Linked DNA regions of Canis lupus familiaris. The protein of the gene in region 1 interacts with the protein of each later gene in a pairwise test. Links are inferred from orthologs where the notes say so. Each region holds a gene or a part of one and is shown on either strand. Other genes may lie near its edges.

Region 1 (3,324 bases):
CCACCCGCCCCACGCCGGGCTGTTCCGCGTGCACCCGGTGGAGCGCGAGCCGGCGTCCCGTGCGGCCTGATGGCGAGCCCCCCCCCGGGCCCGGGGCCAGTCGGAACCCCCGCACGCCCGCCGCGCCCGCGCCACCCACGCTCTCTTGTCTCCCCCCCAGGCGACGCCAGCGAGGACGACCACCCCCAGGTCTGCGCCAAGTGCTGCGCGCAGTTCACCGACCCAGCCGAATTCCTCGCGCACCAGAATGCGTGTTCTACCGAGCCCCCTGTCATGGTGATAATCGGGGGCCAGGAGAACCCCAGCAGCTCCGCGACGTCTTCCGAGCCCCGGGCGGAGGGTCGGAGGAGCCCCCAGGTCATGGAGGCCGAGCACAGCACCCCGCCGGCCCCCGGGGGCGCCGCGCCCGCGGACCCCAGCTGGGCCCCGGAGCGGAGAGTGGAGGAGCCCGCGGGCCACTTCCTGGTCAACGCCACCGGCACGGGCGCGGGGGGCGGCGGGGGCCTGATCTTGGCCAGTCCCAAGCTGGGAGCGACCCCGCTGCCTCCCGAATCCGCCCCCGCGCCGCCCCCGCCGCCCCCGCCGCCGCCGCCGCCCCCGGGGGTGGGCAGCGGCCACCTGAACATCCCGCTGATCCTGGAGGAGCTGCGGGTGCTGCAGCAGCGCCAGATCCACCAGATGCAGATGACGGAGCAGATCTGCCGCCAGGTGCTGCTACTCGGCTCCCTGGGCCAGGCCGCGGGCACGCCCGCCAGCCCCTCCGAGCTGCCCGGGACGGGGCCCGCCGCCTCCGCGAAGCCCCTGCTGCCCCTCTTCAGCCCCATCAAGCCTGTGCAAAGCGGCAAGACGCTGGCGCCGTCCTCCTCCTCGTCGTCGTCGTCGTCCTCAGGGGCCGAAGCGCCCAAGCAGGCGTTCTTCCATCTGTACCACCCGCTGGGGGCGCAGCCCGCTTTCCCCACCGGGGGCGCCGGGCGGAGCCACAAGCCGGCCGCCGCCGCCTCCGCAGCCCTGTCCGGCAGCGCGGAGCCGCTGATGGCCTCGCCGCACCTGGCGTTCCCGGGCGCCACGGGGCTGCTGGCGGCGCAGTGCCTGGGCGCGGCTCGGGGCCTCGAGGCCGCCGCCTCCCCGGGGCTGCTGAAGCCAAAGAACGGAAGCGGTGAGCTGGGCTACGGGGAAGTGATGGGCCCCCTGGAGAAGCCCGGCGGCCGGCACAAATGCCGCTTCTGTGCTAAAGTGTTCGGTAGTGACAGTGCACTGCAGATCCATCTGCGTTCCCACACAGGTGAGCGGCCCTATAAGTGTAATGTCTGTGGCAACCGCTTTACCACGCGCGGCAACCTCAAGGTGCACTTCCACCGACATCGCGAGAAGTACCCGCACGTGCAGATGAATCCGCATCCGGTGCCCGAGCACCTGGACTACGTCCTGACCAGCAGCGGCCTGCCCTACGGTATGTCGGTGCCGCCGGAGAAGGCCGAGGAGGAGGTGGCCGCGGCGGCCGGCGGCGGGGAGCGCAAGCCCCTGGCGGCCTCCAGCGCGGCGCTCAGCGCCACCGAGAGCCTCACGCTGCTGTCCACCGGGGCGGGCGCAGCCGCCACCCCCGCGCTCCCTGCCTTCAACAAGTTCGTGCTCATGAAGGCCGTCGAGCCGAAGAGCAAGGCCGACGAAAACACGCCCCCCGGCGCCGAGGGCTCAGGCACGGCCGGGGTGGCGGAGGGGGGCCCGGCGGCCCGCCTGCAGCTGAGCAAGCTGGTGACCTCGCTGCCCAGCTGGGCGCTGCTGACCAGCCACTTCAAGTCCGCAGGCGGCTTTCCCTTCCCCTACGTGCTGGAGCCTCTGGGGGCCTCGCCGTCTGAGACGTCCAAGCTGCAGCAGCTGGTGGAGAAGATCGACCGGCAGGGGGCCGGCGCCCCGTCGTCCGCGACCTCTGGGGCGCCCCCCGCCTCGGGGCCCACGGCCTCGGCCGCCGCCTCGGGCCCCAACCAGTGCGTCATCTGCCTGCGGGTGCTGAGCTGCCCGCGCGCACTGCGCCTGCACTACGGGCAGCACGGGGGCGAGCGGCCCTTCAAGTGCAAGGTGTGCGGCCGGGCCTTCTCCACGCGGGGCAACCTGCGCGCGCACTTCGTGGGCCACAAGGCCAGCCCGGCCGCCCGCGCCCAGAACTCCTGCCCCATCTGCCAGAAGAAGTTCACCAACGCCGTGAGCCTGCAGCAGCACGTCCGCATGCACCTGGGGGGCCAGATCCCCAACGGGGCCGCCGCCCCGGACCAGGGCGCCGAGCTCCCCGCCGTTCCCGGGCCCGGCCCGCAGCCGCCGTCCCAGCAGCCGTCCCCCGAGGAGGAGCTGTCGGAGGACGAGGACGACGACGAGGACGACGACGAGGACGGGACTGACGAAGACTCCCTGGCGGGGAGAGGCTCGGAGAGCGGCGGCGAGAAGGCCATCTCGGTGCGCGGGGACTCGGAGGAGGCCTCCGGGGCCGAGGAGGACGTGGGGGCCGCGGCGGCGGTGGCGGGGCAGGCCGGGCAGGCCGGGCCGCGGCCGGAGGGCGACGAGCAGGGGGCGCAGCAGCCTTGCCTGGCCGCCCCGCCGCCGCCCGAGCGCCCCGAGGAGACGCAGCCCCCGGAGCAGGGAGGCGCGGCCGCGGCCCTGGGCGCGCAGGAGCAGGAGCGGGGCGAGGCGGAGGCGGAGGCAGCGGCGGCCCGGGAGGGGCCCCGGGAGGGGGAAGGCGGCGGCGGCGACCCTGGGGAGGAGCTGGGCGCCCCGGAGGCGCGGAGGAAGGAGGCGGGCGATGGCAGTGGCCGGAAGGCATGCGAGCTGTGCGCGCAGACCTCCCTGGAGGAGCCGCAGAAGGCCCACCCCGGGGAAGGGCCGCTCTTCACTTGTGTTTTCTGCAGGCAGAGCTTTCTCGAGCGGGCCATCCTCAAGAAGCACATGCTGCTGGCTCACCACCAGGTACAACCCTTTGCCCCCCACGGCCCTCAGAATATTGCTGCTCTTTCCCTGGTCCCAGGCTGCTCACCTTCCATCACTTCCCCGGGGCTCTCCCCCTTTCCCCGAAAAGATGACCCCACGATCCCGTGAGCCTGCTTTTCCGCACCTGCTGCCCCTGGATGCAGGGAGCAGAAGCCGAGAGCTCTGTAGGAGGACCTCCGAGACGGATGCGCCCCCCCCCCCCGTTTGTCTTTTTCTCTGAGTCCTTCCGTGATACATCCCTAGTGACTCTTCTCTAGTCCCCGAGCTTGGAAATAGTTGTGCTCTCGGGGGATGGCCGCCTTGTGAACTTTTCTTCCCTCTTCACTCGTTGTACCTGAGGAAAATAGA
Region 2 (4,827 bases), on another chromosome or scaffold:
CCAGGGCAACCCCCCCGGGTCCCCAGGGTGCCACACTGGGGAGCCCACCCCCTGTGGCCTGCACTCAGCCTGCCACGTCCAGCCTGCCTTACGAGCTGGGGCCTGGGATCCCTGGTCTCCTCTGACCCTTCCCCCAGCCAGGCTTCTGCAGTTCTCCAATCCAGGCCAGCTCTGGAGGCTACCCCCTGTGTGGCTTTGTCTTGAGTAGATCCAGGTAAAAACTTTATGGTTGTCACTTCCACTTAGGCGGGGAGGAGGGGCTCTGCGTCCTTTCTTGGACATCTCGCCAGGGGCACAGACATTATTGGGTCCCACACAGGGTCATGCTGACTTGGTCCTTTGGGCCAGGTGGTGTCTGATGGGCATCTTTCTTGTAAAGGTACTTTCCTTTTTTTTTCTTTTTTCTTTTAAGATTTCATTTATTTATTTGACAAAGAGAGCGTGAGCGGGGGGAGGAGCAGAGAGAGAAGCAGACTCCCCACCCAGCCAGGAGCCAGACCCAGGGCTGGATCCCAGGACCCCAGGACCATGACCTGAGCCAAAGGCAGACACTTAGCCACCGAGGGGCCCAGTTAAGATACTATCCTATGCTCATAATGAACTGTAGCCTGGAGGAAGATCTTGGCACCATAAATATTTTCTTTCTTTTCTTTCTTTTCGTTCTTTCTTTTCTTTTTTTTTTTTTTTTAAGATTTTATTTATTTATTCATGAGAGACAGAGAGAGACACTGGCAGAGGAAGAAGCAGGCTCCATGCAGGGAGCCCGACGTGGGACTAGATCCCGGGGCTCCAGGATCACGCCCTGGGCTCAAGGCGGCGCTAAACCGCTGAGCCACCCGGGCTGCCCTGAAATACATTTTCTTACGTGTAGTTGGCACAGTAAAAAACATGAATTGTGGGGTGACTGGAAGAACATGGTCTCCCTAAAGCCAGGGCAGAAAAAAGGACTTAAAGGGTAATAGTAGCACGTGGAGGAGCCAGCGGATAAGAAACGGCGCTTGGTCCGCTAAAGGGGCGCAGCGACCCAGAGACCGCAGCAGCACGTGCGGCCAGCCCGGCTCCCCTCCCGGACCCCGGACCCCGGCCCCCGGCCCCCGGCCCCCGGCCCCCGGCCCCGGCCCCGGCCCCGGCCCCGGGAGGCCCCGCCCTCAGCCAGGCCCTACCCCCCGGAAGGCCGGCCTTTTGCCAGGCCCCTCCCCTCCCCTCCCCCGAAAGCCCCATCTCTCCCCGGGAGGCCCCGCCCCTCCGGCCGGCCCCGCCCCCAGCCGGGCTCCTCCCCTCCGCCCGGCCTCTCTCAGATTGGCGCCCCGCCCCCGCGCCCCCAGTCCTCCGGCCGGCCTCCGTCTGACCCGCCCCGCCCGCACTCAGGCCCCGCCCCTCCAGCCGCCCCCGCCCTCGACCGGGCCCCCTCCGCCAGGCCCCGCCCCCTAGCCGGGCTCCGACACCCTTCCCTGACAGGCCCCGCCCATCGGCAGGCCCCGTCGCCGCCGCCCGCCCCCGCCGCTCCGCCAGGCCCCGCCCCTCCATCAGGCCCCGCCCCGGTGGCAGGCTGCAGGGCGCGCGGGGGACTCCGCAGACACGGCTTTCGGACAGGTGTGGAGGGGGCGGGGGCGCCGGTGGTGGTCCGCCGCCGCTGGCGCTGCCCGGCCCGCCCCCGGCCCGCCCCCGGCCCGCCCCCGGCCCGGCCTGCAGCCCGGGCTCCTGCAGGCCCGCGGCCGCCCCGCGCGAGCGCCGGCTCTGGGATCCACTGCTCTGGCCTGGGGGCGGGGCCGGCGCGCGGCGTCATGCATATGCATGAGCGGCGCGGCGGCTCCATTGTGCCCTCGGAGCGGGCGGCGGCGCGATGGCGCGGGTGGCGGCGGCGGCGGCCCCGCGGCGGCGGGCGGCGCGGAGGGCGGGCTGAGCGCATGGAGCGGCGTGGGCCGGGGGCCTCGGCGGCGAGGGGCCGGGCTAGGCCGGGCGGAGGTGAGCGGGCCGGGTGGACAGGTGCGGGCGGCGGGGGCGGCAGGTGCGGCAGGTGCGCGCGGCGGGCAGGTGCGGCGCTCGGGGCCCGCGCTGCGGCGCCTCTGCCGGGCTCGGGCCGGGGTGGAGGCGGCCCCGCCGCCCACCTGCCGCACCTGCCGCGTGCGCGTCGTGCTCTCGGGCCCTCCGGCCGGCGCGCGGGCGGCCCTCACCTGAGCCTTTGTTGGGGTGGGCTGGAAGCCGGCCGGGCGCCCGAGGGGTGTGCGCGGCCCCGGCGACCTCCCGAGCCGGGAGGATGGCCCGGGGCCCTCGCCCCGCCTGGCCGCGCCGCCGCCACGCCGCGCTCGGGCTCGCCTCCGGGCTGGCTCTGGGCCGTGCGCGCCCACCAGCTGGGCGGCGTGGGGCCGCGGGGCCGCCCGAGGCCGGCGGAGCAGGCTGACCTTTCAGCCTCCCGCCGTTGTTTCTAAGGGGACACCCCTCGTCCCAGCCGCGCCGTCGCCGGGGCGGGAGGGTGCCCTCTCCCAGGACCCCCGTTTGCCTCTCTCCCTGCCCCGCTCTCCTTTCCCTCCTGCTTGCTCCCCTCCGGCCCGGATGCGCCCGTCCCTGCCCAGCTCTGTTCCTGATGGTTGCAGACCATCCACAGCCACGTCTGTAAGTCGGTTTCGCAGGGGCATACACGGAACGTGTGACTTGATCTGGGGGACGGTGGTGGATGCAGGGAGGGTGAGCAGACTCAGCCACCGCTTCCTGGGGAGCTAGAGCCCTCGGGCCTCCATCCAGGCTTCGTGAGAGGGGGGCCTGGCCTCCCCCAGCAGGTACTGGGCCTGAGGACTGGTCATGCCCAGGGGCTGGTTACAGGCAGGGGACAGAGGTCAGGGAGGAGGAAGGTAATGACAGGCAGGCAGGGTGCGCCTGGGGAGGACTCCAGGGACAGCCCGACTTCCTCACGAAGTGTCCACTGGCACTGCGTCCACTACAGGACTCAGGGTTTGAGCACAGAATGGCAGGTGTGTGTCCTCCGCTTTCCTAGGGTGGCTGCCACGTACCCATTGTGCACCCAGGCCCTTCGTAAGTGCTCGTTCCTGGGTGCTTTAGATGGGCTCCAGCACTTAGGCTGGTCGGTGTTGTGGCCTCACGTGGAGAGCAGCAGGACTTCCAGCCATCCAAGCATGTGAGTCCCCCCCTTGTGTCGTCCTGCCTCACTGAGCCACCATTTCCACCTTCTCCAAGCCCATCAGACTTGGGTGTCCCTCTGCTTGGACACGTGCCCTGGAAGCACAGGCTCCCTGCTGCCGGAGTGCCTGCCCCAGGACCACAGAGCAGGCGTGCCTTTCCGAGGTCAGGTGGCCTGTCATGGGGTGTGCTGCTCCTGGCTGACCAGGCGGCAGGGACGGAGGAGAGGTGCAAGAGAGCTGACCCACATTAACGTCTGCCTGTGGTTGGCACCCAGGAGACTGGGTGCAGCTGCTCCGAGGCCCTGGGAGGGGGTCTGAGTAGCGAGTTTCTGTAGCCGTCTTTCTGGGAGATGTGACCCAACCCAGAGAAAGCTCCAGGCTAACCACGTGCCAGGGCGGTTCTGCCGAGGGGTCCTGGCTTCCCGCTGGAGCTGTGGACAGCAGAGCCTCGGACCAGCAGAAGGGCCCCCGCCTCAGGCCTGCTCGGGCCTCCTTGTGCGCACGTGCACTCAGGCACACACGCACACACACACCAGGGCTTCTCCAGCTGTACCTCTCAGGCCAGGAAGTGAGAGGAGGGTCTTGCATTCAGAGCAGGGCTCTCCCTTTGTCGGGAGCAGAGGGCCATGGGGTACCCAACTTGGAGAGTGCAGGTCTCCCCAAGGAGGAGACCAGACTTAGTTTGGCAGGAAGTCACACACACACACACACACACACACACACACACACGCCCTGCACACCCAGACACCCATGCATGCAGTCAGCTCAGGGGGAACTGGAAATCTCTGTGGTCTCGTCCATAGCAGAGCAGCCTTTGGGGTGGAATTCCCCCGACCCATGTGATGTAGGAGTCGTCCTGGGGCCCCAGACCAGTAGCCTCTGCCTCCCCCACTCTCCACCTGGGGTCCCTGTAGCGGCAGCATCCTCACCCAGGCTCGTTAGGGATGCGGGTCCTCAGTTCCAGTCCTACAGTTGTGTGTGATGCGCCGGAGCTGGAGCTGGGGCCGCGGGAGTCCTCAGTGGTGCTCCCCCACCTGGCCAGGGGCTCGTCTTCCACCCACCCTTTGCTTCTGTAACCACAGAGTGGGCCTGGCCAACCCCACCAGCTTTGTTGTAGGGAAGGGTGGCCCTGGGCATTTCAGTGGAGAGAACAGGCCAAGCGGCGGCGGTTTTCTCATTAAACTTTTATTTTGAGGGAATTAAAGATTCACGTGCAGCTGAAAGAAATAACTGTGTGTCCTTTACCTGGTTACTCTAGTGGTGACATCTTATAATACGATAGGATAACGTCACACCGGGATGCTGCGTGGCTCCAGTCAAGATGCAGATACTCCCTCCCCACCTTCTGTTCACACCTGTTCCCTCCTCCCCACCTGGCAGTTGTGCTCTGCTTTTCATTCTGGGATTCCATCATTTCAGGAATGTTACATAAAGGGAATCCTACCGTGTGTAACCTTTGGGGACTGGCTTTCTCCACGCAGCGTGGTCTCTTGGGGCTTCCTGCCGCCTCCCCTCAAGCTCCCAGGCTGTGGGTGGCCCCTGAAGGGCTCGCCCCTCACCTGCAGGCCGTCCCCACTGACGCTGCCGGCAGCACACACACACACATTCCTGGGTGAACGCGTGTTTACATTTCTGGGAGATGAGTGTTCGGGAGTGAGTTTGTGGGGCCGGGCAGTAGCCGCCTGCTTAG
Region 3 (5,074 bases), on another chromosome or scaffold:
TAATATCAATCAACCACATAGTCATAAATAACTCTCATAATGAGAACTTTTAAGATTTCTTCTCTTAGGGTGCCTGGGTGGCTCAGTTAGTGAAGCCTCTGCCTTAGGCTCAGGTCATTATCCAAGAGTCCTGGGATGGAGGCAGCCTACAGCTCCCTGCTCAGCGGGGAGTCTGCGTCACCCTCTCTCTTTCCCCACCCTCCTCCTGCTTGTGCTCTCTAGCTCTCTCATAAATGAATGAAATCTTCAAAAAATCTACTCTCTCAGCATGTTTCAAATATACTATGCAATACTTTGTATTATAGTCACTGCACCGTACGAGACATCCTTAGGACCTCTTTATAACTGGAGGTTTGTACCTTTTGACTGCCTTCATCTATCTCACTCAAGCAACTCTCATCCTCACCTGCCTCTGGCTACCGCCAACCCCTTCTCTGTGTCTTTATCTGAGGATTTTTTTCACCCCAGGCCCCGAGATTCCACATTTAAAGCTTTAACAGGTCTTTGCGTCCTTCCCCTCCCAGTAAGTCCTAGGATTCTTCTGTGTCCTTTCCAAAGTGCTGTCCTAGGGCAGCCCAGGTGGCCCAGCGGTTTAGCGCCACCTTCAGCCCAGGGCGTGATCCTGGAGACCCGGGATCGAGTCCGGCGTCGGGCTCCCTGCATGGAGCCTGCTTCTCCCTCTGCCTGTGTGTGTGTCTCATGAATCAACAGGTGAAGTCTTCAAAAAAAAAAAAAAAAAAAAAAAACAACAAAAAACCCAAAACCAAGCAGGAGTTAGTGACTGGCCAACATTGCTTTTATTACCTTATGCGTAGGTTTTTGGTTAACGACCAAATAACGAATGACTTAAAGTCTCGCCAGCTTAAGAATGGCTCTGATTTTAGCTAAAAAAAGATTTTCGAGGATACAATGAAAAGAAAATGGCCCGCACGACCTGCGTCGCACGTTACCCGAAACCAGCAAACACGCTCCGTGTGACAGCGAAGACCAGAGTCCAGTCTCGGAGACGCCCGGGGACGGCGGCCGCCGAGTAACCAGAGCGCCGCCCCCGGCGACCACCCTCCTCCGCGCGGGCCGCAAACCCGAAACCCGCAGGTGCCGGCGGCGTCCCGCGTCCCGGGACCGGAGAACTAGCCCCACCCACGGCGCCGGCGGCCCCCAGGCGCCCCCCACGGCCGGCGCCCCGGAGCTCGCGGAACGGGGACTCACCATGAGAAGGGTGTGGCCCGCGAGGTCGGGGACCGAGTCTCCGCAGGGGACAAACATGGTGGCACAGAGGGCGGGAGGACAGGCAAGGCCGAGCGCGGGCCCAGGAGGCCGGGGGCGGGGGCGGACCCGCGAGCGCCGCGCCAGGTCTGGCAGCGCGGTCCCCAGCGCGGGGGGCGGGGCCACGGGGCGGGGGGCGGGGCCACGGGGCGGGGGCGGGGCCCGGGCCGCCGCTCGGCGTGGGGTCCTGCGGGGCCAGTCCAGCTCCGCGCCGGTCCGCGGTGCGCGAAGGGCCGGGCGCCGGGGGAGATGGGGGCGGGCAGTGCGGGCGGAGACCCCCGCGGGGCAGGGCGGCGGGGAGCGTGGGCTGGCGCGGTGGGCGTCCCCAGGCCGGGAGCGGAGGCGGACGTGGTCAGGCACGGACGGGGGCAGCCCGCGCCCCGGCAGTCCGCGCCGTTTGAAAGCCACGGTTGAGCGCCGCCGCCGCCGCCGCCTCGGCTCCCGCCCAGCCGCGGCCCTGACGCGGCGCCGCGCCCCCCGGGAGCTGCGCGAGGCCGAGCGGTCGGCGGCTCCGCCCCGCGGCTACTGGCACCCCGGGGCCGGCCGGGCGCGCCCGAGGCGGGGGAAGCGCGGCGAGCGGCGGCCGCAGCATGTCGCTGCCTCCGGAGAAGGCCTCCGAGCTGAAGCAGCTCATCCACCAGCAGCTGAGCAAGGTGAGGGTCCGGCCCTGGCGCCGCCCGCCTGGCGTCCCGGGCGAGGCCGACGGCGGCGCGGGCGGGGGGCTCCGAGTGTGCAGCCCGGGCCGCCTCCAGCCTCGGCGAAGGGCAGCCTCAGCCGCGCTGAGGAGGAGGCGCTCACCCCGCGGCTTCGGGGTGCCAGGCCGAATACCAGCTGGGCTGCAGCAGATGTATGTTCGGAGGGTAGGAGTGAGAGTTACTTTAAGGGTGAAACTCGTGTCTTGAAGTTGAGCCAGGGGGACGTTCCTGAAGGTCTGCACGGAGAGTGCTTGCGGCCCTTCGGAGCCCAGCGAGAGCCCCGAACGCAGGGAGCTGAAGCCCTGAAAGCTGCCGTTTGCTGTGCACCTGTATGCCAGGTCCCGTGCTCAGTGTAAAGCATCTTTGACCTGAGCCTGCAGTAATCTTTTCCAGACTCATGCAGGGTAAACGGATCAACTCAGGGTCACGTCTCATAAGCTCAACGTTGAAATTCATACTCTGATCTCCTAGTCCAGGTCTGTGTTCTCTTGCGTATACTACACTCCCAATAGGCCTGTTTTCGTTGAATGTTATTTGTGGGGAAATGGTAACAAAGGTAGTAGATAGCCAGTAGAGATTATTTCTAGAATTTGTGCTAAGAGAAATTTAGGATGAAATAAAAGTCTTAGCTTTATTCTCATTGAATTCTAGCGATAATTTTACACTTACTATTAGCTTGAAAAGCCGTCTTGAATTTTGTCCACTCTCCCATTATTGTTTTTTAGATATTTATTGATTCCTGAGACACACAGAGGGAGAAGCAGGTCCGCTGCAGGGAGCCCGATGTGGCACTCGATCCGATCCCGGGACCCTGGGGTCACGCCCTGAGCGGAAGGGAGACGCTCAACCGCTGAGCCCCCCGGGTGCCCCTAGTACTCTCCCATTATTTTTTTTTTCCTTTGGGTGCTTTAGAAAGAAATTAGCTAATTGGCAATGTTTGTCAGCTTTATAAACGTGAGTTATATTGCAAGTTTTCTACATAGATGGATGTCCATGGCAGAATAAGAGAAATCCTTGCAGAGACAATACGGGAAGAATTGGCACCTGATCAACAACAGTTATCAACGGAAGATTTGATCAAAGCCCTTAGACGTCGGGGAATCATTGATGATGTGATGAAAGAACTTAATTTTGTTACTGTGAGTAGTTTGGTGGGGAAGAATTTTGAGAATATGTTCCTGGGCATAATGCTGCTTATTGGGTCCATATTTGGGGCCTGTTTTTAGTAAAATCACTTTAAAAGGCCATTTTTGTCTGGTAATATCCTTACTATAAGTTCACTCTACCCTTGAATGTAGCAAGTGGGATTATGTATCAATGAGATTGGAGTTACATACCATATTTCTCTTTACAGTGACAGAATTTTCTGTTGTTATTCCCTAGGTCTGTATCTGTAAGTATACATATTTTAGTGAAATTAGTTCACCATAACCTAGTTCTTTTTCGCAAGTAGTGTTTTATAATTTTTTTTAGATTAGGCATATTTTTTAAATACATTGTTTTAGAACTTCATTCTCTGTGATTAACAGATTATCAAATTTTTAAAGAAAATAATTGTGTAAGAACCTTCAAATCTCTTTATACAAATAGGTCGGTAGTGAGATGATAAGCCTCCGTGCACAAAATAGTAAGTGGGCCTTCTTTTGAAAATGAGGCAATAATGAGAAACTGTGACCTAATAATACATGAGTAGTATAATGTAAAAATTGGATGGAGTGCATAATACATCAGGGAATAAGTATTTTAATACAGCCTCCTTTTTTGGTTTTTGAGGTTTATAAACCCATTTGTTTGAAAATTGACCCAGTAACAGCTTCTGCTGTGTGAATGTCATTTCCTTATTAAAATCAGTTCATGGTAGAATCATAAGCCAAATGTCATATTAGGTTTAGAAAAAGTTTAACCTTGTTTAAGGTATTAAGGATTTGTTAATAGCATTCTGTGGACACTGAAGACAGTTTATTTCCTTATTAAAGTTTAGGAGTGACCAGTTCATCAACTCTTTTCATTATTTTAATTATGCTGGGAAAATAAGAGTTTCCTTGAGGGGGCTTTATCCTGTATACTTCTGTTTAGTTCTTAGTCCCACCCATTGTTGATGTTTCTTTGCTTAGCTATAATTTTTGTTTTCTAATTTGTTTTCATCTTTTTTCCCACCTTTCTAGGACAGTGTTGATCAAGAACTACCTTCCTCTCCAAAACAACCTGTTTGTTTTACTGATAGACAATCAACGTTGTTAAAAAAAAGTATGTATATTTCTTTTAACATTGATTTCGTTTTGCACCGTACTACATATTGATGTGCTGTAGTGTTTGGTATTTGATGAAAACCATTTTTTTCCTTCTCGAATGAGATTCTTACCATTTTTGTAATTAATCATCCAAAAAACTTAGATTCTGTTTTGCACCAAGTTGTGTATGTCAGAAGCTTTAGTATATCACAGAGTGGAAGCAAAAACAGAATTACCTGTTTCTCATGTTTTAATAATATGTTTTATAAACATTGTACAGCTTTGCTTTTTTAACGGTAATTGCCTAAAAAGTACACTTGCTGAGTTTATATTTGTTTGGTTTGGCTTTGGCGGTGAAGGCGTGTTATTAGATAAGCACCTGAAGAGCAAAGGTTTCTTAAGCCTTGGCTCTGACTCTTTTCTAGCTGGGAGAAAGTACCCAGAATATAAAAACTCCGATAAAAATATATCTTATTGTGTATGTTTTCTTTCTTGGTTTCAAATGGTCCTGGTATACAGTAAATTTGTTACTTTTTTAATTTAGTCTTTGGTTTTATTTCTGTCAAGTTATTATTTCCTATTGTCTTGATCACATTCCTTAAGTTGTTTGGCAGTTTCCTCATATATATTGCTACACTTTACAGCTAATATTGATCCAACACGGAGGTATCTTTACCTTCAGGTTTTGGGTGGAAAAGCTTTCTTGGAACATCTACAAGAACCTGAGCCTTTACCTGGACAAGTTTGTTCAACCTTTACTCTATGTTTACATTTTCGAAACCAACGTTTTCGTTCTAAACCTGTTCCATGTGCCTGTGAACCAGATTTTCATGATGGCTTTTTACTTGAAGTACACAGAGAAAGCTTAGGTAAGGAGCAATA

Evidence for each region.
Region 2: the proteins of SALL2 (region 1) and ZMIZ2 interact in binary tests that used the Homo sapiens proteins (3 or more experiments, as listed by UniProt). The two-hybrid records come from large-scale screens. The link is inferred for Canis lupus familiaris from reciprocal best matches to the Homo sapiens genes SALL2 and ZMIZ2.
Region 3: the proteins of SALL2 (region 1) and CEP76 interact in binary tests that used the Homo sapiens proteins (3 or more experiments, as listed by UniProt). The two-hybrid records come from large-scale screens. The link is inferred for Canis lupus familiaris from reciprocal best matches to the Homo sapiens genes SALL2 and CEP76.

The regions. Positions count from the first base shown.
Region 1 is NC_049236.1:18,684,340-18,687,663, reverse strand, and holds part of SALL2 (sal-like protein 2), read left to right. Parts: intron 1-160; coding exon 161-3,084; 3' UTR 3,085-3,324. UniProt on the Homo sapiens protein: Probable transcription factor that plays a role in eye development before, during, and after optic fissure closure.
Region 2 is NC_049237.1:14,026,136-14,030,962, reverse strand, and holds the start of ZMIZ2 (zinc finger MIZ domain-containing protein 2), read left to right. Parts: upstream 1-1,536; 5' UTR 1,537-1,593; intron 1,594-1,881; exon of another isoform or gene 1,882-1,965; intron 1,966-2,591; exon of another isoform or gene 2,592-2,613; intron 2,614-2,992; exon of another isoform or gene 2,993-3,133; intron 3,134-4,827. UniProt on the Homo sapiens protein: Increases ligand-dependent transcriptional activity of AR and other nuclear hormone receptors.
Region 3 is NC_049228.1:78,180,411-78,185,484, reverse strand, and holds the start of CEP76 (centrosomal protein of 76 kDa), read left to right. Parts: upstream 1-1,783; 5' UTR 1,784-1,856; coding exon 1,857-1,919; intron 1,920-2,944; coding exon 2,945-3,100; intron 3,101-4,126; coding exon 4,127-4,208; intron 4,209-4,836; coding exon 4,837-5,061; intron 5,062-5,074. Other genes in the region: PSMG2 (proteasome assembly chaperone 2), read right to left, coding at 1,210-1,266. UniProt on the Homo sapiens protein: Centrosomal protein involved in regulation of centriole duplication. Required to limit centriole duplication to once per cell cycle by preventing centriole reduplication.